3 linked regions of the Lepisosteus oculatus genome follow. The protein of the gene in region 1 interacts with the protein of each later gene in a biochemical or structural test. Links are inferred from orthologs where the notes say so. Each region holds a gene or a part of one and is shown on either strand. Other genes may lie near its edges.

What was found.
Region 2: the proteins of erbin (region 1) and arvcfb interact in a test that uses a peptide from one of them, tested with the Homo sapiens proteins (3 studies listed by BioGRID and IntAct, with this or other methods). The link is inferred for Lepisosteus oculatus from reciprocal best matches to the Homo sapiens genes ERBIN and ARVCF.
Region 3: the proteins of erbin (region 1) and abcc4 interact in a test that uses a peptide from one of them, tested with the Homo sapiens proteins (2 studies listed by BioGRID and IntAct). The link is inferred for Lepisosteus oculatus from reciprocal best matches to the Homo sapiens genes ERBIN and ABCC4.

What each region holds. Positions count from the first base shown.
Region 1 is NC_090698.1:27,933,305-27,941,976, forward strand, and holds the start of erbin (erbin), read left to right. Parts: upstream 1-5,037; 5' UTR 5,038-5,336; exon of another isoform or gene 5,337-5,638; intron 5,639-6,397; exon of another isoform or gene 6,398-6,637; intron 6,638-7,277; exon of another isoform or gene 7,278-7,299; intron 7,300-8,672. UniProt on the Homo sapiens protein: Acts as an adapter for the receptor ERBB2, in epithelia. By binding the unphosphorylated 'Tyr-1248' of receptor ERBB2, it may contribute to stabilize this unphosphorylated state.
Region 2 is NC_090717.1:2,959,383-2,967,260, reverse strand, and holds the start of arvcfb (ARVCF delta catenin family member b), read left to right. Parts: upstream 1-4,106; 5' UTR 4,107-4,941; intron 4,942-7,878. UniProt on the Homo sapiens protein: Contributes to the regulation of alternative splicing of pre-mRNAs.
Region 3 is NC_090710.1:7,173,022-7,181,813, forward strand, and holds the start of abcc4 (ATP-binding cassette sub-family C member 4), read left to right. Parts: upstream 1-5,020; 5' UTR 5,021-5,060; coding exon 5,061-5,134; intron 5,135-8,792. UniProt on the Homo sapiens protein: ATP-dependent transporter of the ATP-binding cassette (ABC) family that actively extrudes physiological compounds and xenobiotics from cells.

The DNA of each region.
Region 1 (8,672 bases):
TTAATAGCTCAAATCTAGAATGACAATTAGCTCAGTACTGCAACCCTTGCGCCAATAAGGAGACATGGTGAGGTCTATGCACACGTTCCTCCACAATGTGTACCACTGAGCCAGCTGTCATTTTTCATGCTGCTCCAGTTGCAGTCTGCAGCAACTCGTGTCAAATGGCAGAGTGACAATGAGATGTAGTCAGCAAGAGCTGCAAGATCTCAGCTATCAGCAAGGCCTGCAGCTTGTACACTCCCCTCTTGGCCAACTGTGCGATGCCACATAGGGAAACCACACCCAGCTGTCTCATAAACCAGTAGTGAATGTTCGTCAACAGGTCACAATCCGTGGTCCAAACCACACATCTGTACTGTGTAAGCCAAACAGCTCATCTTACTTCATCCTCATTTTTCCTTTGTTGCCTCTTTGACAAAGGATAGTGATACAAGCAGAGCAGGATTTTGGTGTTCGTATGCCCCAGGCACTTTTGCTCTGAAATGTGCAAAAGGAGGGGTACAGTAAATGCCAATTGAATTACGTTGATTGACATGATGCACTTTAAACTTTTCTAATGCTAAACCTCATGATTGAGCGAGTTGAGCAAGTCGAGCGACCATCCCTTCTATACTTCTAGTTTCTAGAACAGCAGCTAGATAGCATATGATTATTAATTTGGAGCACCTATAGTCGGTCGCAAGCATGTTGTTTCAGCTTGTTTTTCGCTAGTCACTAGGGTCTTCCTCCTTTGTAGGCCCTAGGCACTGTGCCTAATGGGTAATCTGGCACTGGATACACGTGTTTTCAAACCAGACATTTTTGGCATGTCATAAGTGAGTGATAAACATCTAAAAACATTATTGTTTTGTAATTAAAGTGGTAAATTAGGCATTATAGTTAGGGGCACTGGGTTCATGTAAATGAGTTTATCTGACGTTTAAACACAAACGGTACTCCAAAGGGGTCACAACTGGCAAACAAACCCATTTCCACTATGTGCTGACTGGCACATACTACAGCACCTTCCACTCATTTAGGAATAGTTAGGGGGGCAGTTAGTACCCACTGACATAGAGATGCAGAACTGCTTTGCAATTTAGTCCTAAATAAACTCAAAGCTGAAGACTACCCTAAGGAATGGATTGCACAGTGTACAATATGTCACAAAGAGCTAATCAACACCCTACGCAGACGATAGAATCCGGAAGGGAGTGAAACAAACATGGGGGAGAGAGGACTAGGAACGGGGCTGGTAGATGAACTGGGGGGGCGCGTCGACGGTGCACTGGTGCTCGGGGGACGTGGTTCAGGCGAAAGTCCAAGGGGAGTCCGAAGAGTAATCCAGAGTGAGCTGGGTGATCCATCCATGAAAGACACGACAAAAGTTAAAAACCGGAGCGGGATCCGGTGAAGGGACAGGGAAATAGAAAGGGGTAACGGGTCCAGGCGCTCCAGGCCCCGGACCCAGATGGTCAGGACACCGCTGCGAAGCCTATGCTGTTGGGCCACTCCTGGACCTGCTGGTAGGCGGGCTTCCGGGAGTCCATCTTCCAAAGTTGAGCCCAGACTGGTAGGAGCGTCTGGCTTTTAAAGGGAGGAGCTGGAATAGGAGGCAGGTGCAAAAAATCAACAGAAACAAAAAAGAGCCGAAGAGCCCTTAAGAGGAGGGACTTACGATCGTGACACAGTAATCATAGATGGGAAAGCAATCTTCTTTATTTTAACAACATTGTGGAAAATGTTAACTATTTATTTGTAAGAGTAAGGACATGTCATAGGTTTTAAATAAATACTGGCATTTAAAAAAAAATTAGAATCAGCATTGCATCAACTCAATTTAGATTAGCCAAGGGCTTTTCCCATGGATAGGCTTGTAGCTCCTATCCACACAACTGCACACAGGGAAGACTAAGGAAGTGTAGGTAGATACATCCGAGCCATTCGGTTAATGCTTACTGATCAGTGCAAACTGGAGGAGGGGCACATCCATCTGTGCACCCACTTGGGGTATCCTGGTTCAGTCTCCTTCCGACATGACCCGGTCTCAGAGCTCAGTGGCCTTTTCAAAGGCAGAACGAGGGATCCAATACCTAAATATCTTAAGAGACAATACATGTTGTTCTGTTAAATTCTATTAAAAAAAGAAAGCAGTTGTTTAGTATACCCAGAATACCCCAATTATTTAGGATTGTCACTGCAGTCTGGGCAACACCCCACACTCCACTAGTAATCTTAATTGTGCACAATTCCCCAGAGAAGCACTGTCTCCAAGATGACTGAGCTTCACCCCAGCAATATCTGAGCCACAAAAGTCAATCTGCATTCTAAACGGGTCTTTACTGGTTGAGCCGCCAGTGTCATTTAGACCCATACAAGAGATTTATTGGAAAACTTTAATGTAAACTGTTTATCTTCGAATGAAAACGGAGACACTAGGGAAAGATCAGAACAGAAACAGCTTAAAAAAGAACCGGAGTTCCTGGCACTTTATGGAGCAGTTAAGACTAACGTGTCTCTCCGAGACCGGACAGTTTACTGCATGTATAGAAATCGGAGGGTTTTACAAATATTGACGTATTTTCCAGGATTAAGTAAAAATCCAATAAAGTTTTTCCTCTAAACAAACGCCCGGGAATTCCCATTTTGCAACCAGAACTAGTATTACACACATCCCTCGCTGTTGCCATTAGGACCAAAAATGTCAGCTCGTAAATGGAAACGCGTAAGTGACAATTACCATTAAAATAAAATGGGGGTTCAAGTCTTCGATTCATTTCTAGTGCTCCTATCAGAAAACGAACCGACGTGTCTTGGTATTTTCCTGCTGTTTGTATTTTCGAACCATAAACTGCCAAGTACATTACAACGGGAATAATTTACCAACACTTTTTATGCAAGCTGTTATGTTTAATATTAGGAAGCAATTATGTGGAAGGAAGATTTGCATGACCTATATAGCACAAATGAACAATACGATATGAACAAAATAACTGTTAGTTATACCTTGTACAAAGAATAAAACTCTTAATTTTATTATTAAGACATCAAGCTGTCTGGTGATAGACACCGTGCACGCATAGGGGGAATAATCAAAACAAATAATTTAGTTCTATAGCATGTTAGAGTTTGTGAACCGATATTATTTACAAATTATACATTAGAAATATTATCCTACACCATATATGGTATAAGGCATTACAATTTCTGTTAAGAGCAGCCAAGAATAAACATGCTATTCTAAGAATAAGACGTTTAACTCGCACAACAAAAACGGGTCTGTGTACCACTTGTTTTAGCGAGTACTCTAAAGTAAAATAGTTTAACAAGGAATGAGTGCATATATTTCTTGGGATCTTTGCACCGTATGCCTCCCGTCTCCAAGTTTTGGGGTACACCGATCTCGTTCCCATCTGTTGGGCATTTATTTGTCAAGCCAAAACGCGTGATAACCCCTTTCATATTTCTCCTTCTCTCCCAAAAGAAATAATCTTTGCAACCAAAATCTCCGATAATTGCGCACCTTTCGGATCGACGTCGTTTCTGTCAGAGGTTGGGAGACAGGGAGAACTCGATTAAAGAAGGGCCAGACTCAAACTATGAAACCAGACTACGTTAAATCTAATGACTCTTGAAGGATACTGATGTATCGCTTGACTGTTTTTAATAATAATAATAATAATAATAATAATAATAATAATAATAATCATCATCAGAGAGGAATGCAATAGACATCTGATACTAATTGAATCGTTTATTTATTTTATAGGCACGTACATGTATTTTATTAAAACGAATTGCAGCTGCTAGGAGTTTATCGCCCACTAGTGGCTGTATATACATGTCCTGACTATTTTCCACACATCGCTCTTTGAGAGACTTAGGTTAAACATCAAAATTCTTCGTTTTAAAAATAGTAATAAATTATGGGAATAATGAGCTGCGCCGTAAATAATTTATTACAATAGTTTTGCGTTTGTTTTAAAATAAAACAATGGTGCCATGGGATTTTTAATGACCAAGTAGTCAGAAACACTTTAACAACAGTTAGGATTCACGTCTTACAGCTCCCTACTGTTGCCATTTTGTTGAAACTCTCAATAGAGGGATGAGAGAAACCTGCTTGTCCACCAGCACCATTGAAATCCGCAACCTATTTATTCTTAGTTCAGGTGGGTAGTTGCGCCAGCATGCGTAGGCTGCAAAGGAACAAGTAATAGGTTTATTCTATGCTGAAAAGAGAAGTAAGAAAACACGTTTCGGCTGTGGAGCCGAAATTTTCAGATTTGAAAAGCCCATAAAGTGGAATGAATCAGGCCATAAAGTGGAATGAATACATCAGACCCTACATGATTAACTAGTCCAAGACAGAAGATGTAGATGGGCATCATCGTGTTTAGTTGGATTCTGGTCGATTGACTTGATTAAAGTCATCCTGTTGCAAAGTAGATGCAGGTGTTTTGCCGTGTGATTTTTATTCACATTTCGTTTGGAAAAACTGGTGTGCACAAAACATACACCAGCAGTGCCTCGGATAACACACGCTACTGTTTCACAGTCGTATATCGTTTTATTTGGATTGCACAACATGTTTTTAAAGAAAATTTAACTATTTCATTATTTTGACATAAGGAAATAAAGTAAGGATGCCCAAAATCAAAACAAAGCTTAACACGCTGTTAGGCGACACAATTAGTCAGTTCCTGCTGACATTTCTAACTTTTGATTTCATTCTTACAGCAACTGAAAAGGAGGAAAACAACCAAACATGCTGTGTGTTTTGGGGGTCCCGCCTCCACACTGGGTATTGGCGGTCTTGCTTTATACATGGTAGATATGCAGCTAGCATTGGTTGTACTGTACTGCCCGTCACTATGTTACCTGATCTCGAAGTCAGACTGAAACCAATCAGCCCCAATCAGACTTACCTAGGCGTCTGGTCTGTGTTGCTGGGCTGTTGCTGTGCTCGGCTGGCTGGGACTTGATCGCTGCCAGAGCATGAATTACGCCGTACCGGAGTGCAAGTTGTGCTGCTTGCTTGCTAGCTCTCCCCGTGTTTGTGCGTGAATTTGTGGCGAATCTGTTTGTACATGTAGCCTTTTCACATTAATGAGAAGTTGGCGGGGGTGTCAGATTTGAATGCATATGGGTGCGGCGTCCCCTTTTCAGAAAAAAAGGCTTAACAGGATTTGTGTTCAAGCTTGGGGTTGAAAAAAGGAGAAATACTCGTCTTCTGGAGCTGCGCTGAGCGGTGGACATTTTTTCGCCTTTTGTATACTTGCGCTTTGTGGACATTTTGATTTTTTCTTTCTGATTGTCAGGCTTGAACTACTAAAGTTTTTTCAATTAAGGATGTAAGTAATTTTATTTTTTTGTGCTACCCTGCTAACAGGAAGTTACTTCCCCGAAGCAAAAAAAAACCTAAAGTACACGAAAGACAACTTTTGGCGAGAACACTGCACTTGGAGAAGAAGCACAGTCAATGTGATCAGTGTTTTGAGAGCTTTAATGTCATATGAGTGGATGGATGCAGTAGAGGTTTTTAAGCTATCTCGCCTAAGACGATTTGCACCAAAGTAAACAAAACAGTGGATTTAAAACACTTTCGGAGCTGCAATTTCAATGAAAGAAGGTGTCTGGAAACCTGACGTTTAAGGTAACATATGTGTACCGCTGAGTTTGTTTTAATCAAAAACACTTAGAAGATGGGGGGAAAAAACAACAAAGTTTGATCTAGATATCATTTGACCTCGGAAAACTCGGAAAGGGTTAAGGATCATTTTAACCCTGTTTCCGCCCACCCCAGTAATGTCGTTGGCTGGTGTGTGAAATGGTGGTGGTAAACTTGAGCTGGAATCCGCAGCCACTGGAGGTTTTAAAGGGGGCAGACTGGAACAGAGGAGCTATTGTTTAACTCCAGAGACTCTGGACTGAATCTGATGTGACCGCTGTCTGGATGCTTTCCACGGGGGATTTTTAATCATCAGTGTATTTACTGTAAACCCCCTTTGTTTAATACTACTAGTATTACTAGCGCATCCCAAATGTAGTATCAGATGCGTCTCTATAATAAACACGTGAAAGTGAGGTAGATCTTTGGATTTTATTAATTTCTACTAGTATTTTCGTGTTTTTGGAGTCTGTGTAATTAGAAGGGTAATTCTGTATGGTTTTATTTGTCTCGGTTTGCTCGCCTCTATTGGTAGAACGAAACAAAGCCACAGCCACAGGAGCTGTCAGATATATTAATGGGTATATATATAATTTGCATAATACAGTACTGCTGTAATTTTACTCTGTTAAATTACGATTTACGCCGTAAGAGTACGTTTTGAGTAACCCCTTCCTTTCTGGTCTTAATGTTTTGTTGGAGAAATATGCGGAAATTTACAGAGCACCAATGCCATTTAAGTTGGCATCACTTCCTGTGTAGAATAATTTTGCCAGGTAAACCTTGTGTTTTGTTCAGATACGTCTGTCTGATGAGAGCTGAAAGGATTACTTTCGATATTTTCACGTTTTAATAAGATTAGGCTAGGGATTTGGTGTTAACTGTGCGACCTCCTGTATTTGATCTTATGGGATGCAAAGGAGGAAATCTACTGTACGACTCGAGGGGCATAAAAACATCCCATCCGTTGTCTTACTTAAAACGGTAAATAAGAAGGAACTGAAATCGATCAATATGCTTTTGATTGTCGAACTAAATTTAACATAGATAAAAACATTTTATATTGATTGGTTTATAAACCTGATGTTGTTGTTTTTTTTGCTAATCTGATCCTCTGTGGTTTTAGTTTCGTACATTTTTTTAAAATTTCGATTTACCAGCTTTGCGAAATTGTATTGAAAACCTCAGTAAAACTATCTTCCCCCTGTTAATCATGCTGGAACAGGATTTAGTGCGTCAAGACAGGTAGCAACAATAAAAAAAAATACGATGAGCAACCTAGGATGGTGAACCAGTTAGCCATTGGTTATATGGCCAATTTGTTTTGCTTTGGAGCATATTTAAATTTAAAAAAATGATGTAGATGGTTTAAACTAGTGCTAGTTCATTGAATGCAAAAAAGCCGAGTCGTTAAAGATTTACAAAGCCCTGCGGACGCTGTTTTTATTAGAGGACAGTGATTACACTATAGACGTGGATCAAAATGGAAGCTCTTTAACATCTTATTGATGTTTTTTCGCCATTTGGATAAGATCTAGTTATTTTCCTTGGTATGTGCACAGGTATAACCGGCTTCCCTTGAATTTGGTGTAACCTTGCAGCGGAGACGGAAAGAATCTGCTAAACTCGTTGACACAGGTGTTGGTGTGAGTAGTTGGTCTGCCTTTCCTCTTTTCACCGTCACAGGTGGAATATAGGGAACATTAGGCCACGAAATGGTTTCATTATTTTTCTCAGTGTAGATTAGTAATTATAATAGTAATTAGTAATAAAAGAGAAAATAAAAAAACAGTTCTTAATGCATTTATATGTAACGTGACGGTTATTTTTCCAGTATGCTTAAGTCTTCTTAAACTCTTTTTGCATAGTAAAAAAAAAAAGGTCAAATTAATGTTTTGTTTGAGAAGGAGACTCGGTCACTGGGATGATTCTTAAATGAAGACTTGTTCTTGTGGGCACTGCAGTGGTGTAGTGGTTAGAGTTCTATGTCAAAGCTCTTTGGATTAGGGTTGAATTCTGGCCTGGGGCTCTTTCTGTGTGGAGTGTGCATTTTCTTCCCATGTCATTACATGCTGATTAATTTGCATAGTTAAGTAAAGTGTGTGTGTGTGCGCTCTGTGATGGACTGGTGTTGGTGGTGGGGGACTACACACACTCAGTGTCTGCTGCTCCCAGCTGTCAGTCCTGGTCTAGGAATTACCTCCTTCGTTTGCTGTTTTTTTTTTTAACTGGACTCTTGGGTACCCCTAGTGATTTGTGAGATTTGTAATCGGTATAAACCCTGTGCAAGCCAGCAGCCATATCACCCTGTGAAGCCAAGCAGGGTTGAGCCTGGTCAGTACTTGGATGGGAGACCTCCTGGGAAGCTGTGGTTGCTGCTGGAAGTGGTGTTAGTGAGACCAGCGGCCTTTCAACAGCCTCAAAATTGTCCACATGTATGATTGACTTGCACTTGCCCTGCGGTGGACTGGCACCCCGTCTAGGTTGTACCCTGCCTTGTGCTCGTTGTTTTCCAGGTAGGCTCCGGCTTCCCGCGACACTGTAAGGTATAAAGAGGTTTGGTAAATGACATTACATAAACCCTGTGCTAATTGGTGCGTCTCAGGGCAGCGCTCAGGTGTGCAAGACGAAATCTAACCAGTCACGCTCAAGCAGAAAGAAGGAGTGGAGTCTCCCTGAGGCAGTTGTCCGATACAGCTTCATCCTTAATCCTCTGTCATCAATTGATAGCCAGTTAAGTGCCATTTAGTCAGAAAATTCATAATTCACATGTTGAGGAGAAACCACGTAAAAGTCTGTGTGCTAGTGTTGGTGGAAATAATGTACTTTACAGTGTTTTTGAAACCAGCCTCTAAATTCTGGAACTAGAGGGCAGGTCTGTCATAATCGGGGTCTGTAACTGGTGATTAAAGGTCCAGTTGGAACAAACGACAGCAAACCCTGAGGTGTTGGGGGACAGAAACCCACTGATCTAAGGGCTCCTGAAAAACGATGGGTGGATGGTAGGAGAGCTGCTGGT
Region 2 (7,878 bases), on another chromosome or scaffold:
AAAGAGATTCCGGTGACAGATTGAACTGCCGGCTGTGTTAGACAGCCCTGTGACAAAGGTGATGGGAGGGCTTCTGTAGCGCTATGTCTGATCACCCAGGGGCACACGTGCTCAAGCTGCACCAGGAGGGGTGCCTTCACTGCGCTCCTCAGAAGTGACCTTAAATATAGTGCGAACCAAATCAGAATTAAAACTGGATGCACACACTGATGCAAGCTACTTTTTTCGGTGATAAAAAGAAGCAATTAAATGCACTTGGGACCCCTCTTCTTTCATCTTGAGCTCCTGATTTTTTTTGCGACTTTCAGTTCAACAAAAGTGCTGGATGCGGCATCACAGCTACCTTTGCAAGGCTTTCCAAAATCCCGGTCATCAACCAACGTCAAGAAAGGCTTAAGATTATAAACCCCTATGCTTTGCATCAGAAGCCAACACTGGAGGTCAAAACAAGGACAAATGATTTGGTTCTTGGGGAAAAAAAAAACAGATGGATATTTAGTCATGCGCAATTATGTACAGTGGTATTTTTTTTTAAAAAGCCTGAGACGCAACAAGTCAAAAACAGGGAATTTACCAAATAGGAGTAAATCCAGATCAACAGAAATAAAATGAACTGCTAAAAAGTGTTAAGCAGTAGATTTGAAAGAAGATGTAAAAGCAGATCCAACTTGTCTTAGTTTTTGTTTTACTTTAAAGAGCATTTCACCCCGAGATGAAAGCCACATTATATGGGTCACTACAGATTCAGCGCTGTAAAAGACCAAATAAAAGGCTTTGCACTTCAAATTCTACATTTCCTATTAAAAAGAACCAAGCCATTTGTGGCAGCTGTGTTCCATCTCATCGACAATAGGCTTCTAGAATGTAGAATGCATTGCATAATAGACAATTCTGTAATCTCTTGCTCTCTGTGGTCAGCAGTTTGAACCAACGGTACTTTCAGACCATTTCATTAGGAAAAAGACTCAATTTATACGAAAAATAAAGGAAGACAGCAGGGAGAAAAAAGAATCTGTGTTTTTTTTAAATCTGATGGATAACTACAAAGAGTTCGACGACTCAAGTTAACCTCTTTCTGGCAATGCACCAGAGTAAAATGACCTTTTTTTGGGAAATTTAAAGAAGAAAATCAAAACCTGTTGAGTCTTTCTTATGAACGGATTAGGTACTTTTCAGATCCTAAAATTCTAAATAAGGAGAGTCAGATTGCATTCAACAGGTCTGATTGCCTTTCATTTGAAGTACAATGCAAATATACAGATATGTTCCCTGTCAAGGTTAGATCTTAAACAAATTCTTGACTGAGTGATGAGCCAATGAAATCCACAATGTATTCCACAGATAGAACAGATACAGGGCTGCCTGGAGGGCTTTAAACAAAGACATTAGGTCACATAGCTTTTCAGTTATGAGCAAATAACAATTTCCAGCATTTCAGCCAATTTCTTCTTATTTTAATAATAATTTACAAGCACAGCATGCCAAAACATTGGATTCTACATATATCACTTTTTGTCAGATAATTCTTCACTCACTCCCCCTGCAGATGATGACAAACATTTCACAATGAGTGCTTTCCTTTTCACTGAGTGTACTTTGTTAGTGTGTGCAATTCTATTGGTCACATAAGGAATCTGACATTTAGTCTAGTTATAAAACAGCATATTTGAAAACAAAAATCTGAAGAACATACAAAGAATGCAGGAATTACAAAACTCTGCCCTTTCCCCTGCTCTCTTCAGAATAGAGTCTATTCGTCCATAAATAAAAAAACAGTCAGATCGACTGGCTTAATTAATCAAGCCATTTCGATTATTTTCACTTCCTCCAAACAGTTGCAGATTTCAAGTTATATTCTACTTGTACGCTTTAGCAGGTGAGGTAACTCGAAATAACCGAGTAACAAAGTGGGAACTGGTGTGTTATGTAACTAGCTGACAGCAGGCTACCCGTGATGAGGAATTGAAGATTATAACCCCTCATGTGTTGGAAAAACTTTGTGAGAATATTATATAGGGAGGAAAACCAGCCTCCTGCGAACATATGGCCTTGCATGTACAGCATACTGTAGATTCCGTCAAGTGAGTGATACGCACGGTTATGACTGACCTCGCAAGCACGGTTTTTATGGGGTTTCTCATAAATCACACTATTTGGTTTTGAAAAGCGACGCCTACACTTGACAATTATCTTACTACTATGTTCTGAATTACTGCAATTAAAACGGCATATAATCACAGTGTGCTAACTGGCATATATGCTAACAGATTCGCTATAACTGCACTGCGCTTTAAATAATTGAGTTACGTATTTCTAACTTACCCATCTAAAACACGTCGCACACCTGTTTCTTCTGACTTGTGCCCGAGATGTAGCGTACTAGGTACACAGAATTGATCATACTGGATCATCATCAGAAATCATAAACTCTTTGCAAATAACGTCTTTAAGCTTCTGTATTGAAATTTATGTGATATCTGTTTTCATCTAGCTAATGGCGAAACTACCTTTCCCTACCGTTTTGACAGGGGATATGCATTATTAACCATAGGGGATAAGCATCAGTCACGCCTCGCAAGTTTAAAACCACGCTCACAGTCGTATTATATCGCAGTACTCTGTACCAGTTTCAAGCGCTTGGAAAACAGCCGACTTTTTCTAACTGCTTCACAGACAAGGTAGCAAACACTATTATGGTTTATTACCTCGTCCTATTTTTTTTTTCAGAACAATTTTTGACACTGTTAAGATGAAAATAGAATTGTCTGTCTTCAACACAAAAGCAAAAGTCAATCCTTCATAGCTTCTCCGTCGCCTTGCACTATTGGCAATAGTCTGCTTCAGGTAGTTCCAGGGAGGTAAACATATCTGGAGCTACTGTACAGTAGATCATGTTTTTTTTTATTTCTATTTCCCTTAATTGTTAAACAGATAACGAAACCACCACCTCCCTGGAGGGTCACCGCAGAATGCAGTTTTAACTTCCTGCCTTTTTTTTGTTTTTGCTCACAGTCAGGATTTATTTTCTTGCTCATTAAATAATTCGCTTTCAACCCGTATTTTGTTACTCACAGATCCGATTGCTGGCAATGATCAACACAAGAAGTTAAATCCCACAAGTTACCGTTTTGTTTTGGGAGGACACAGCAGCAACGCGCGCTCTGATTGGCTGCGTATGGAGGGGTTATGACCTCACTCTGTTTGTCCCGCCCCTCGGTTTTTTTTGCTGATCAATGATTAATTGAGAAGCCGCTAATAACAATCTTTATTTTTTGCTCACACCTGAAGAAGGCTCCACGGCCGAAACGTTGTGTTCTCTTTCTTCTTTTTTTCAGCATGGAATAAACCTATTACTTGTTCCTTTGCAGCCTACGCATGCTGACGCAGCTACCCACCTGAATCTTTATTTCATGTACCACCTTTTGAAATCCGTTGCTTAATTTCAGAGCGGAGATGGCGCATGGTGCCTAAATATCTAAATGTGATCTGACAACGCTTTAAACAATCGGCCATACAAATAAAGTATTTTCCGCTGAATCAAATACAAATAGAGACATCTGACCCATAATTTTCCTCAAAACAAGTGAATGATATCCAAATTGCAAGGACTGTTTCTGAGTTCTGAAACAAAACTGGATTTTTGACAGTACCCGAATAGTTTAAAATAATAATCCTGCTTCAATCCAGGATCAATGATAATGAGAGACTACAAAACATGTATTAAAAATAAGATCAGTGCAAGCCTTTTTATCACACGCAGGAAAATGATGATACGTTATAATCATGTTTCAAAAACCCATTTTGATTAGACGGATTTCCGAAGCCCTTTTATTTCCCTCAAACATCTTTTAGTTTCTGCAGCAGCAGGTGCGGAGCTTCGACAACAGCGACGTGTCGGGAAAGTGACAGCAGCTGCCGCCAATGACAACGCGAGAAGCGGCCGAGCGCGTCGGAGTGACAGCACAGATCAGCCAATAGAGGGCGATATCAGGGTCTTGTTCCTCGAAGGCAGGCGGGGGTAAGGGGCGGGCTCTGCTCTTCATGTAGTTTTGGTTTGCTGGCTGTGTCGCGGACTGCGCAGGGGGGGGGTGTGTGTGCTGGTCTGTCAGTTTAGTGTTTTTATATGGGGGTGTTGTAGTGGACGGGGGGGAGAGAAAGGGAATTACACGGTCCTGACTGTTATTCTTCTTGCAACCCCATCAATCTTTTCTATTGGAAGGCTACAATCAGCGTGTTAGGATTCACTAGGACCACTTACCTTTTGGGGATATTTTTTAAGCAGCTGACGGAGGAGGGGGAGGAGGCAGAAAGACACCTGATTAGAGATCAATCTCTATCTGTTACTATCGCAAAAATAAATAAAAGCCGAAGGAAGAGGACCTTTGATTTTGCATTAGATGTCGGCACGCCTGCAATCAATGTAATTATTAAAGCTTGCAGACATTATCAAAGACAAAAAAACTACCTGTAAAGGACCCGCGTGATTTTTTATTTTATTTTTGAAGGCAGTCGCTTAAACTGCATCGAAAAAAACGTGTTTATTCAGGAGCAAGGCTTTAGATTTAATTTCCACTGGATTTATGACATATCCGACACTCTTAAAGTGTCGGATAGTGAGCCAATTTTAGTGAGCCATTGTTTTTCGAACGGGATTGTTAGTTTTCTTTTTTTTTGCTTTAGAAGTTGAGCGAAGTGCACCCGTTTGCGCATTTCCAGATTAGCTCCGGTGGGCTATTTGCTCCAAGGAGTCTTTTCCCGATCCAAGTGGTGAATGCCGAGCAGTGCGCTCGGTTATCGTGTGTGAGGTGTTATTTTTATATAAAAAAAACACCGTGTTTTGGGGCGAAGTGAGCCTGCCAACAAAAAGGGATCCATCTACTGATCCGATTCGAATACACCCCGCCGTCTACGTGCTTGGAAAACTCCGAACCGAGAGAGGAGGTAGGAATATCCCCAAATTTTAAAAATGCAATCGCCTCTTTGTACGGTGATGATATGGGGGGAATGTTCGTATTAAGAATGCGGGGAATTCGAGACCGAAACATGCAGAGTAAAAAATAAACAACCACCTTTTCTTGTTATGTTGACAGTCGAAATGCTTTCCGATTGTCGTGTTTATTTGGAAGGTTTCGGCCAAGGGATGCGGGGACCGATCTGTTGCCCACTTTGGGGGAAATAATATGTTTGTTTTGTAGGTGGTGATGGATACAGTGTATGAAACATGCCGCTGCAGCAGGTCTCATAGCGACTTCTTTTGCTTTCGCTGAGCAGTAGTTTAGTTTTGGAAACGCACTCATGCATAAGGTAAACACAACAGTGGAATGTTAACATTGTTACTAGTAAAACCACCTGCTTGGTAAAAACGAAACTGTGCACTAAAACAGCTGCTGTAAACGTCGTGAGCTGAACCCTAGAATCTTGCCCATTCGTTTCCCGTGAAATGTTTTCTGGAAGAGGCAAATGGCATTTATTTTCTCTTTCCAAAAGCCCTTCTTGAGTGGTTATGAAGATACCTGAGCGGCCCTCGTTATCTGTGCTTGCGGTTGCACGCTTTGCTTGAACCCCAGGGGGTCTGGGGCTTTAGGGAATTGCACTCATAATAATTATTCACAGGGGGTCCGTCCGGTTGTGTTTTGCAGCAAATTTACTTTCTGCTTCAATCTCACTGGTTCTCGTTTCTCTGTAGCGACCTGAAATGCATTTGGTGCAACAATTGGGAATCTGAGGGTGGGACGCTGGTACTGGAATGTCCTGAAAATAAGTTTTTTTAGAAGTTATCAGGGGACAAAAAAGTAAGTTTTCTCAAAGTAACTGAACAGGAGGATCTGAGCCACTTAAGAACCTTCCAGATTTGATGCAATAAACCGTTAGAACAGCGGGTTTTAAAACGCGTAAATGTAACGTTTTGTCATTTACAGAACATAATTGAACCCGTATGATTTGGGTCCCTCGTTACGATTTTGGAACGAAATGTATTTTGTCCTTTAATATCACTTGACTAGATGTGGCTGAACTGTTAAAGGGCTTTGTCTGAAGTTCGACTTCAGTCGTGCTCAGATGCGAGTGTGGATGTTCTACGAAATCGAAATCTCTTTTTACAGTATTTCGCAAGCAGCCAAAATGCTGAAACGCCTTTTTTCCCCCTATCCCAGATTTTATTTGAGAGATTTTAATAAAATGTCGTTAATGCACGATGTGATGGAACCTGGATTTGAAGTTAAAAATCCTTCACTTAATAGTCCCACTCTAAATTTCGAAAGAGGAGCTAATTGCAGGCTCATCGCTTGCTCTGACGGCAGGCAGGGTGTTGAATTCAGATGACATGACTGGTGGGTGAAAAAATAGATACTCTAGAAGGTCAATATAGATAACCATATAGCATGAATGAATAAAAATAGCTATTGAATCCAGTGACACGGTCAAACGCTGAATTCTGCTCCGCCCACGTGTGGATGAACGGTATGATGGTACCCACCACTTCACAAATCTAAATTTTAAAAGCGTAGAAAACAAGACTTTTAAAATAAGGAATACTTTATTGCTTTATATACAGCTCCTTCTGTCTTGCACTTGGAGTCATTATCAGTAATACTATCCAGCGACCTTATGAGGGATCTTGGTGTATTAGTGAGCCAAAGGCAAGACGGTTTTACACGTCCGAGAATACTGAGGTATTTATTTCAGTCTGAGGTTGTGCCTTATGTAACATTTGGCGTTTTTATTTTAGCATGTCAGCTTGTTGAGAAAGGTATTTGTGTTTTTGGTAGTGATAAAATCAAAATCCAAACCTCTTTATTTGCAAGATTAATTGAGGCGTTGCTCTTTAGTTTTCAGCAGTGGTGTATCCACGAAACGCTGACACGCCAACAGTGGCTTAGAACTGCTGGGGCTCTTATTCAGCAGCTATAGTTGGTAACGCTTGCTGAAGAAATGCTGTTTTTCTTTAAGGGCATGTGTGTGGCTCTCATCTCATGTGCAATGAAATATATTTTGGTGCGATTGTTTTGGAAATGGGTGGCATAGTAACCTGCGCTGCTCTAGGGTTCCTGGGTTAAATTCTGGATCATGGAATGTTCCGTGTGGAGTTTGCATGTCCCCCCCCCCCCCACATCAGTGCTCCCTGGGTGCTTCGACTTCTGCTTTTGTTCTGAAGACGTGCAGATCAGGCTAATCGATGTCTCTAAATGTGCAGTTGACTTGTGTGTGTCCATGTCACGTGATCTGTGGTCATTAGATATCCCAGGGCTTTTCTCGAAAAGAGTAGGGGTGTTACCCCAGCATCCTGGCCAAATTTCCCATTGGCCTTTACCAGTGCTGCACACTGGTGGTGGTGGAGCGGATTCCCATTACCTGTAAAGCACTTTGAGTGGAGTGTCCAGAAAAGCGCTATATAAGTGTAAGCAGTTATTATTTTTATTATTATTATTATTTGTCAATTTTGAGTTAGTTGCCGGAGAGACCTGGTACTGTGTACCAATAAAACTTCCGGGCTCATGCCTGAATTTTCCCCTTTCCTTCCTCATCCTCATTTCATTCTTGGTGCTTTGACTGTCGGGCTTGAGCTACAGTAGCAGCAGAGTGGATGAAAAAACTGGAGTCTGTGTGATGGACTCAAAAGGCTGGCTGAACACACGTTGGAAAGCATGCAGGTGGCCGTGCCTCAGTCAGATCGCCCAAGGATTATCGGCAGACATTGTGATACGGATCTCGCGAGGTTAAATAACGCAGAATTAATGCCGCCGCAGCTTCTCTCTTTATTGTATCCAGAAATGTGGAGACTAAGAGCAGCATCAGATAAGAGGTGATTTCAGAATCTGACTCGAAAGGTATAATCTCCTAACTGTAATGCCCCAGCACGAAATTTATTCATTAACCTTG
Region 3 (8,792 bases), on another chromosome or scaffold:
ACCACTTTGTGACAATTTGTGATCGCAAGGATTCAGGAGCCAAAATGAAAAAGTTTGAAGAAGGTAATGTAGATGTGAAAAATAACAGATTATTTATTAAAGAAAGGCTGCATATCTTGCTATATTTCTGACCTTCAGCATACATTGTTCTTAGAATAAGTTCCTTGATTCTCAAGCACTGTTGAAGCAGAGAAAATGTTCTGTGCTTTGTATAATATGCAAAGTACAAATCAATTCTTTACACAAATTGCATTGCGTGTAACTGATCTTTTTTCCAGCTTCATTTTCTGTGATGTAAGATATGTAAAATGTGGAATAAAAAAAGGAACCATAAAAAGGGAGGGTAAGTTGTGATATTATGTAACATTTTCAGCAATACATTATCTTATTATTAGAAATATTCCAAATAATAAAAATGACAAGCTGTAAAATTGAATATCGAACTTACCAGAAAATAATATGGTAAATATTAGTCATTTGTAAGAGTTTCTTCTTAAACAGTCAATATTTACATAAAATCACAATTTAAATAGGAAATAATTGCAAAAATCATTTTGCATTATTTTAAAATGTCATATCCCCCTAAAATAAATTGAAAACATTTTGTAAATTCATGTGGTGTCATGTGTTTAAAAATATTGATGAGAACTATAGACTTTAAAGTGAACTTTTAAAGAAATGCTTTGTGCAATGTTAACATAATATTCCTTGTTTAAAATCCTATCCATTTAAAGTATACCGTGTATCCTAGCTTGGTGCCCAAAACTATAGACAATATTCTTAATGTGACCATACTAGTGCTTTGAACATTTTAAAATAACATCCCATGATTTAAATGTGAAATCTTGATCTACAGGTAGCTAGTGAAAAAAATGAAATTACTGTACATGCAGTACATGGAGTCATGTAATGCTAGCTTTAATTATTGGAAACTACATTTTTATACAAGACTAAGCATTCTGGGATGTTATTTGCTTAACTATTACATCAGCTAAAGTTATGTGGAAGCCTTTGCTTTCAATATACTTATATACTAAAAGAGGTTGTTTTGTCATTATTCTTGAGCAGTGTCAAGCAATTTAATCTTCAGGCTTCTGTGATACATTTCATGTTCAGAAGTTATTGAAAGAACAGGCAATGCTCCAAAGCTCTTTGGAACCAAGATTAAGTACAGTAAGTGAGAAAAAGTATCAAGAGAAAAATCAATTAGCAATTAATCAAACCCCCTGAAATTCAACTTTTCTATCTAGAATTAATTAACTTTAAATGTGATCTGGTAATGAATACAGGAATATGAAATGTTGGCAACTAATTATTATTTTCAAATGAAGAGATAAAAACCTGTTTTTAACAACAGTACAGCATGTGTTCTATTGTCATTTTAAAAATATTTCTGCAATGGCAAATGAGGCTTGGGTTTTTTTAGGTACAGTATGTAAGTTCCCTGCTTTTGTCAGCTATTCTGCAAACTTTGCCTTCAGTGGAAAATTAAATCCATAGATTCTGATGATGATTCGCTGTTGGTGACTCGCATGTACTGTACTGTAAGTGCATTAAAGGCTTCTAAAACTCTTGTAACAAGCAAGTGACACAGAAGAATAGAATTAAAAAGGATTAAAAAGTTCCTACGTCATTCATCCTCTCAACTGCCAATTCAATAGCCTTCTTCAGTTTGTGGAGCATATTGCATGTCAGTTTTTTCAACCTAAACAGAAGCTAAGGTGGTACCAAACCTTGAGGACATCTTTCACGGCAACATGAAAACTTCAGCCACTTCAACATAAGAGAGATGTATTTATAAGGAAAACATATCAATAGTAGTAACAATACTCACAATTTTGAATTTATTATTTTAAAATCAGTGCTTTTAGCTTTCTCAGGGAATGTGTGAGACAATATTTTATCATCTATGTATTTTTTAAGGCTTTCTGGTTCTGATTAATTTAAATTCCTGACCCTGACCGAACTGGGCATCTACACTCAGATATGAAGACAGAAAACAAGGACATTGCCCAAACTGAATATACAGACACAGAGAATCCTTTGGCATGACCTGTCAGAGTGTTTTTGACACAACAGGCTACCCTTTTCCTTATTGTAGCACAGTGTCACCATATGCTATTTTTGGAAAGAAAGACAAATTATAATGTTTAAAAAATTAGAATCTACAGTATGTACCTGACCACTTGATTAACATTGTTTTGGGGTTAACGTGAGTTCAGGAACTGCAAATACAGTACATAATCTCTCAAGGCTTCAAATGCAATCTCATCAATATATTTTGCATGAATTTGGTGAAAAGCAGATACATGTTCAAGTTTTTTGTATTTGTTTTTTGTTTTTTGAATTCTAGTTTATTGTACACGGTTAAGCGAAAGTGCTCTCCCTTGTGGTACGTTTGATGTTGTAATAAGTATGAAGGAGGATTTTTATTGATTAAGTCAGTGGTTTACTCTTACTGGTTTGGCGAAGAGGAGTACTTAATCTTTCACCTGATAGTGTGAGCATAAATAGACACCCCTGTTATGTGCAGCTGCAGAACAGACCTTTCTGACTACTCCTGTTGTGAAACAGCCGGCAAGGAGACATCAAGAGTGTGACCTAGCCTTTTTCCATTTCACAGCACTAATATGCATGGAACTGGGTCATTGGTCAGCTTGCCAAGAAAAACCTCAAAGGGAGCAGAGGGCAGGGCATCACTGAGTTGGTAGAATGAGAAACTATAATCATAGCTGTGGGTGGTTTTCAGAAGGCTGCAGTGAAACATGCATCTTTTTATTTAATTAACATGCCACTGGTGCTAAAATAATAAGACAGCATAATCCACAGCCATTTAAATTTGTAATATAAGGAAAACATTGCTGATTCAGATTACTTTCCTAAACCTTGACAACACATTTTTTGAGGTAATCTTTCATTTTTTAAAATCTCTATGGGATTAAATTATGGAACGGGATTACGTCTATGTTATTTTGTCTTAACAGTCAAGCAATTTGTGTTTGTGATCATGTAATTAACACAAATAGTAAGTACAATACAATATACATTTTATTTTTAAATAATTAATTAATAAATAAAATGTATTTATTGTAAATGTATACATTTGATCACATTACAAATAAAATGTTCTTTGTGATCAACCCAGTGATTTAAAATGACCATAAATATGTTGGATCAGAATCTCACTTAGTCAATGGACAACTCAATCCATATCATTATTATAAACAATTGCAAACACAGAGGAAGCAATAATTAATTTTATTCACCTTATTTTAAAGCATCTAGGCAAATGCAAACTATTTGCTAAAGTACTGTACTTTTTCTCGGCTTTTCTTCAGTTTTTAACACAAACCAACCAGACATTATATTATCAAAAATGATTCAATTACAGATCATCCCATATTTGATCTTTTGGTACAACTCATTCCTTACAAGAAGACTGCAGCAAGTTAAAGTACTGTAAATGGTATACTTTCTTCCAAGTAAATGACTGTGGAGCACTCGAAGGGTGTATGTGTTCACCACTGCTCTTCACTTTCTGCACGAATGATTGTGTTGCCAGTGGTTCAAACCAATTTCTAAACACATTTTTTGATGATTCCACCTTACTTTCTCAGATGAATGATAATGATGACTCCAACATATATCAGAACAATATATTGATTCTATAAAAACAGAAGAAATTGTCTCTGGTCTTAAACAGAATGGATATCCTTCCCTGGTCATAAGTTATAATGATTCCATTAAGCAAATTTGATTACATAACAAATAAAACATTGGATACATCCTATTAATATCTGGGAATACAGTATACTATACATAGTTGCAAATCTGTATTGGAAGGTACATGTTGACTTTTTTGTAATAAAGTACAGCAAAGAATTTACTTTCTTTGCAGGTTATGGTTTTGGTTACTATTGGTGCTAGTAGTCATACTCTGTGTTTTTCAGTTTTGTGGTACAAAGTGTCATGCAGAATGGAATAACTGGCTAGTATAATAGTCTTTCTGTGCAACATAAAGCCAAGATGACCAGACTCTTGAGGATGTTAGTAAGGCAGCCATTTGCAGAGCCTTCAAACTGCTTACATTAAGAGTATGTGGAGAAGACCTGTTAGGATCTCCTCTGATCGCTTCCATGTCCTGCATGAAGAATATTAACATACAATATGCCTTCAAACAGATGTTTTAGAGTTCCTCAATGCAGACTTAACAAAATGAAGAATTCCTTTATCCCATATTCAATAAAACTACTCAGTCAACAAATGAGTGTAGGTTAAGGGTTATGGAAGAATGCAATAAGTGGTTATGTGCAAAATGAAGAGTGAATAGACAATTATAGAGGCTTAGGGTGATTGTGGGTGGAGTAAATTTACAGGTACTGTAAGTTGTGAATTCCTATAGAAAGGACTATGGATGGGTTGAATTATTTTATGTAATGTTTATTTGTACTGTTCATACATTTTTATAAGTTTCTCTGTAGAAATAGCTGCTTGGATGCAGAACAAATTTCTGAGAAATCAGAGAAATCATTAATTTTATTTTTTTAGAGTTTAGAAGTCTGTATGTGATTGCACATCACTTTGAGGCAATAACTGCATGAAGTGTGAGACCCATGAGCTTACCAATCTGTTTGTGTAACTGATTCAGATGCTTTATTGCAGGCACTTTGACGTCTTGTTAATTCTGAAGTATTGTGGCTTACATTTTTGTTCAACCATGTAAAATGTATTCTCAATTGGTGTTCAGTCCAGAGATTAGATTGGCCATTTTGCTTGCTTTGCACCATCCAGTAACCTTGACAGACATCAGGGGTGCTGCCGGTTATAATTACAAGGCGCGTTGGTAAACCAATCCGAAAGACGTGGGCGGAGCAAACCAGAACCTGGTCTCAGTGTGAGTCTCGCGTCTTGGAAATGGGTAGGCTGTACTCAGTAGAGTTGTAGCTGGATTACCATGTGCAAAAGAGGGGTTATACAATCTTGCACAAGACATTGGTATAAAAAACAGACAAGGAGCCTTTCCCTTTTGGCCCAGACATTGAGCAAAGTGCTAGGGCACGATGGAACCTCTGCGGAAAGATGAGAAACCTAATCCATCGGCCACAGCTAATCTGTTTTCCAAGGTTTTTTTCTGGTAAGAGGGCGATTAAACTAGAAAGGAAGTAGAACAAATCGTATTTTCTCTTATATTCTGGTTTTCTTTGTTGCCGTAAATCCATACAGAGGCTTTTTTGTTACTGTAACGGAAGTTTCCGTTTTTAGTTTTGGAAGCTGTAGGTTTGGAGCCGGTGGTTTTATCGTGTAATGTACATCAGCTACACTGAAAAGAGACAAAAACCAAATAAGAGCTAAAATGATATAAAAACTGTATGATTAAGAAGTTTACAAAGCTAATTGGTTAAAAAAAACTTAATCGAAATGTATAAGCATCGTCTTAACAGAGGGTTTCCTTAATAATATGCAGTGAGCACGTGACAAGTGACACTGCAGTATTTGGTACGTCTGCACTCACGGCAATATGTATAATATTAAACAAAAACTGGTGTAATGTAAATATTTAATTACAAATATAAATGTAATTACTGTGCCGGTCGTTTCTTTCTTTCTGCTTTTTATGTTGCTTATGTACGTTGGTTGATCCACAGGTTGCTGTGTTGCCATTGAGTTTTAATACTATCTTTTGCAGTGAACCTTACCTTTATAGAATGTAACTTAATAATAACACTGATAACATGAAATAGGTGCTTTTAATAACATTTAATGTCATGTTATTTAAAACCACGAAAACGTGATTTTCGTTAGATGCTTTGAAAACTAAAGAAATAGACATGTATCTCCAGCGTTATAGCGAATATTAGGTTATTTAAAAAATGTGCGTTTAACTAAGCACTGTGGTGTGTTAAATAATAATTCCACATTTAGTGTTACGATGTACCTGTACGTTTGCTTTTCTTTATATCAAAAGTCAATCGTGTGAAGCACTTTTTAAAAGACGTACGCTTCTTCTATAAAACTACTCGAGAATTTACCAGCTGTAATAGGATACACTACCGCGGGAATTTGAAAGCCACTCTGAATGTCATCTCTGTACTTTGGTTTATGAGTTGCAAGTCCATTATACTGATGCAACTTTTAGTAGTTGTAATGTGTTCTTCATGTTTTTCTCACAATAGGCAAAAAAAGCTTGAAATATCCACATCCTGGTTCATGGTTTCTGTATAGTAAGATGCAGTAGCTTGTAAAACCTGAAATGGATCAAACTCCTATGCAATGTGAATTTCTCTGTTCACTATTAGGCGGGGTGGAAGCGTGTTTTGCCTATTTTCTTGTAAAAATATGCAAGTGCACCATATGACTGACAAGCTTTAGAAGACTTTGTTCCATTGTCATAACCAGTATTATTTTAATTTTATCTGCCGATAATAACCAAATAGTATTTGACGGTTTAAGAGAGAACATAATTCCTTGCTTTTGTACAACACTTCTCATCTCAAAGGATCTTCAGGCTAAGATCTCTGAAAGATGGTCCTGGTCAGTGCTGGAACTGGAGCACTTTGAGAATAGAAGCAGTTTGCTGACATTAGTGGTATTAGCAGAAACTAAAACATGACAAAGATAGTGACAGGGGACACTGCTATAGAGGACATTGTCCCAGATAACCTGTCAAATGAAGATCCTGAATACCTGGTTATTAAAGATCTTATGGAATTGTCTGTAAGAGTAGGGATGTTAAATGAAGTGGCTAAATTTCACTCCGGGCTTGTACAATTTAGCCTCCCTAAATTTCTCACTAAATTCAGTTGTTGAATTTATTTCTGATTTCCCCACCTGATTAGCTGTGTATTGGGTCTGTAGTAGTAGTAGTAGTAGTAGTAGTAGTAGTAGTATTAACATCACTTTACAATTTTTTGCATTAGGAATGATCTTTTCGCATACCCCAGTTTGGTCTCCATGAGACACACAGACAGGGAGAGAGCCTGGGGTCAGAGCGCAGGGTCTGCCAGTGTACGGCACCCCTGGAGCAGCTGGGGTTAAGGGCCTTGCTCAGGAGCCCAACGGAGTAGGATAGTGGCTACATCACATCACATTGTTAGTGGCTGGTAAATTAATCTCTAATTTTCAGAAATGTACAGTACCTTGCCTTTCTTACATGAGTTCCACTCTGTCGGAAGTTGCGGTGTACTGTAAAAACAGATGCATCTGTGTTGTATCTTGTTTTACTACAAACCTGTAATTCCAATTTTGTAGTACTTGTTAGTAGTTTGTTGAAGGTTGTGACTCTTCAGTTATACATGATTTAGGATTTGATGACCCTGCTTTGCTAGCCAGTGAAACAGGAAAAATAAACTGTTGAGTGGACACACGACTTTGTCATATACAGTATTAGGGAATCCATTGTCCCATTATCTTCTCTCATTCTGTATTTTTCATATTGGAGCATGATTAGAGCACTATTTTAGGAGTTACAAAAGATAATTTTCACATTTTAAGTGAAACTAGTGACTTTGGAATTGAATGTCTTTTATTTTGAGACATGGCTTTGTTTTAATTTGTCTAAATTATAGTTATATAACTGGTGGCATAACCAAGTGAAGACAAACTCCTGCTTTTATGTTTACATGTGGTATACTGTAACTATATTGGCTGTATAAATGCAGCTGACACTGTAGAAGAGACGTAGCCCTGCCTCCTCCTTGTTTCCTCTCTTCACATTTCTGTTAGTACAAACATGTGCAAGGAGCTCATGTATGATCCATCTACTGGTATAAAAGGGCAAATGTTAATGTGTAAAAACTCTGTGTAAAGATTATGTACATTACAAAGGAGAAAAACATGACAGGTCTAATTTTTCTCTTGACTTAGTAGTTTGGCTTGAAATGTGATTAGGAAGAAATAGCAGAACCAAAAACTTTGTTATACCTTCCTCTGCACACAATTAAAACCAAACCAAGAGCAAGATCTAGTAATAAACATAAAGGTGATATGGTATGAACCTTGTTTGTGTAGATAAGCAGAGTGCAGTAATCCCTCATTATACTATCTTAATTTGTTCCTCAAAAACGGCTTGTAAGGTGAAAAGTCATGTAATGGAAATTCCCATTACTTCCTTTGTTATCGTCTCTAATTGATAGTAGAACTCAAAAAAAGTTTCCCTTAAATACCCTAACTTCACCTTAAAGCACAGAATGGTACTTGAGAATGGAAACTAACACTCCTGGTTAATTATTTGACTAACTATGCTTGATGTAATTTATAATTTATCATTTACAATACAGTACTAACATTGTTACATTGTTCATGTTCAGCAAATGCATAAACATCCTGAACTATATGTGCCTAACATACACTAGCCTTTATTATAAAATAGTTTTAATATAATAAATAATAAAAAGTTAATTCCTCATCTGAGAAGATGACAGAGAAAAAGTATCCTTTATTTCTTCTCTAGCCTGTAAGAGTGAACATTTGCTTGTTAAATGAAAAGACAGGTAAGAATTGCTCCATTTGTATGAAATAAAAATTTGTTGAGCGAGAGATTACTGTATACTTCTGCTGCTCTCACTACCCCTGCTTTCACCTGCTTACAGTACGTTTACTGAAAGCTTCTGGTATTATGACTGCTTGGGAACTTGATAAGAAAGCTAATGTGTGCTGTCTTTTCCATTTTAATCTGGCCATATTTTGATTTCCACTAATTGAGTTTTCTCCACCATTTTAGTTTGTACCATGATTTGTTTTCACTCATTAGAAATTAGCATCACATAGTTCACCTGTCACAGAGGATCAATCAC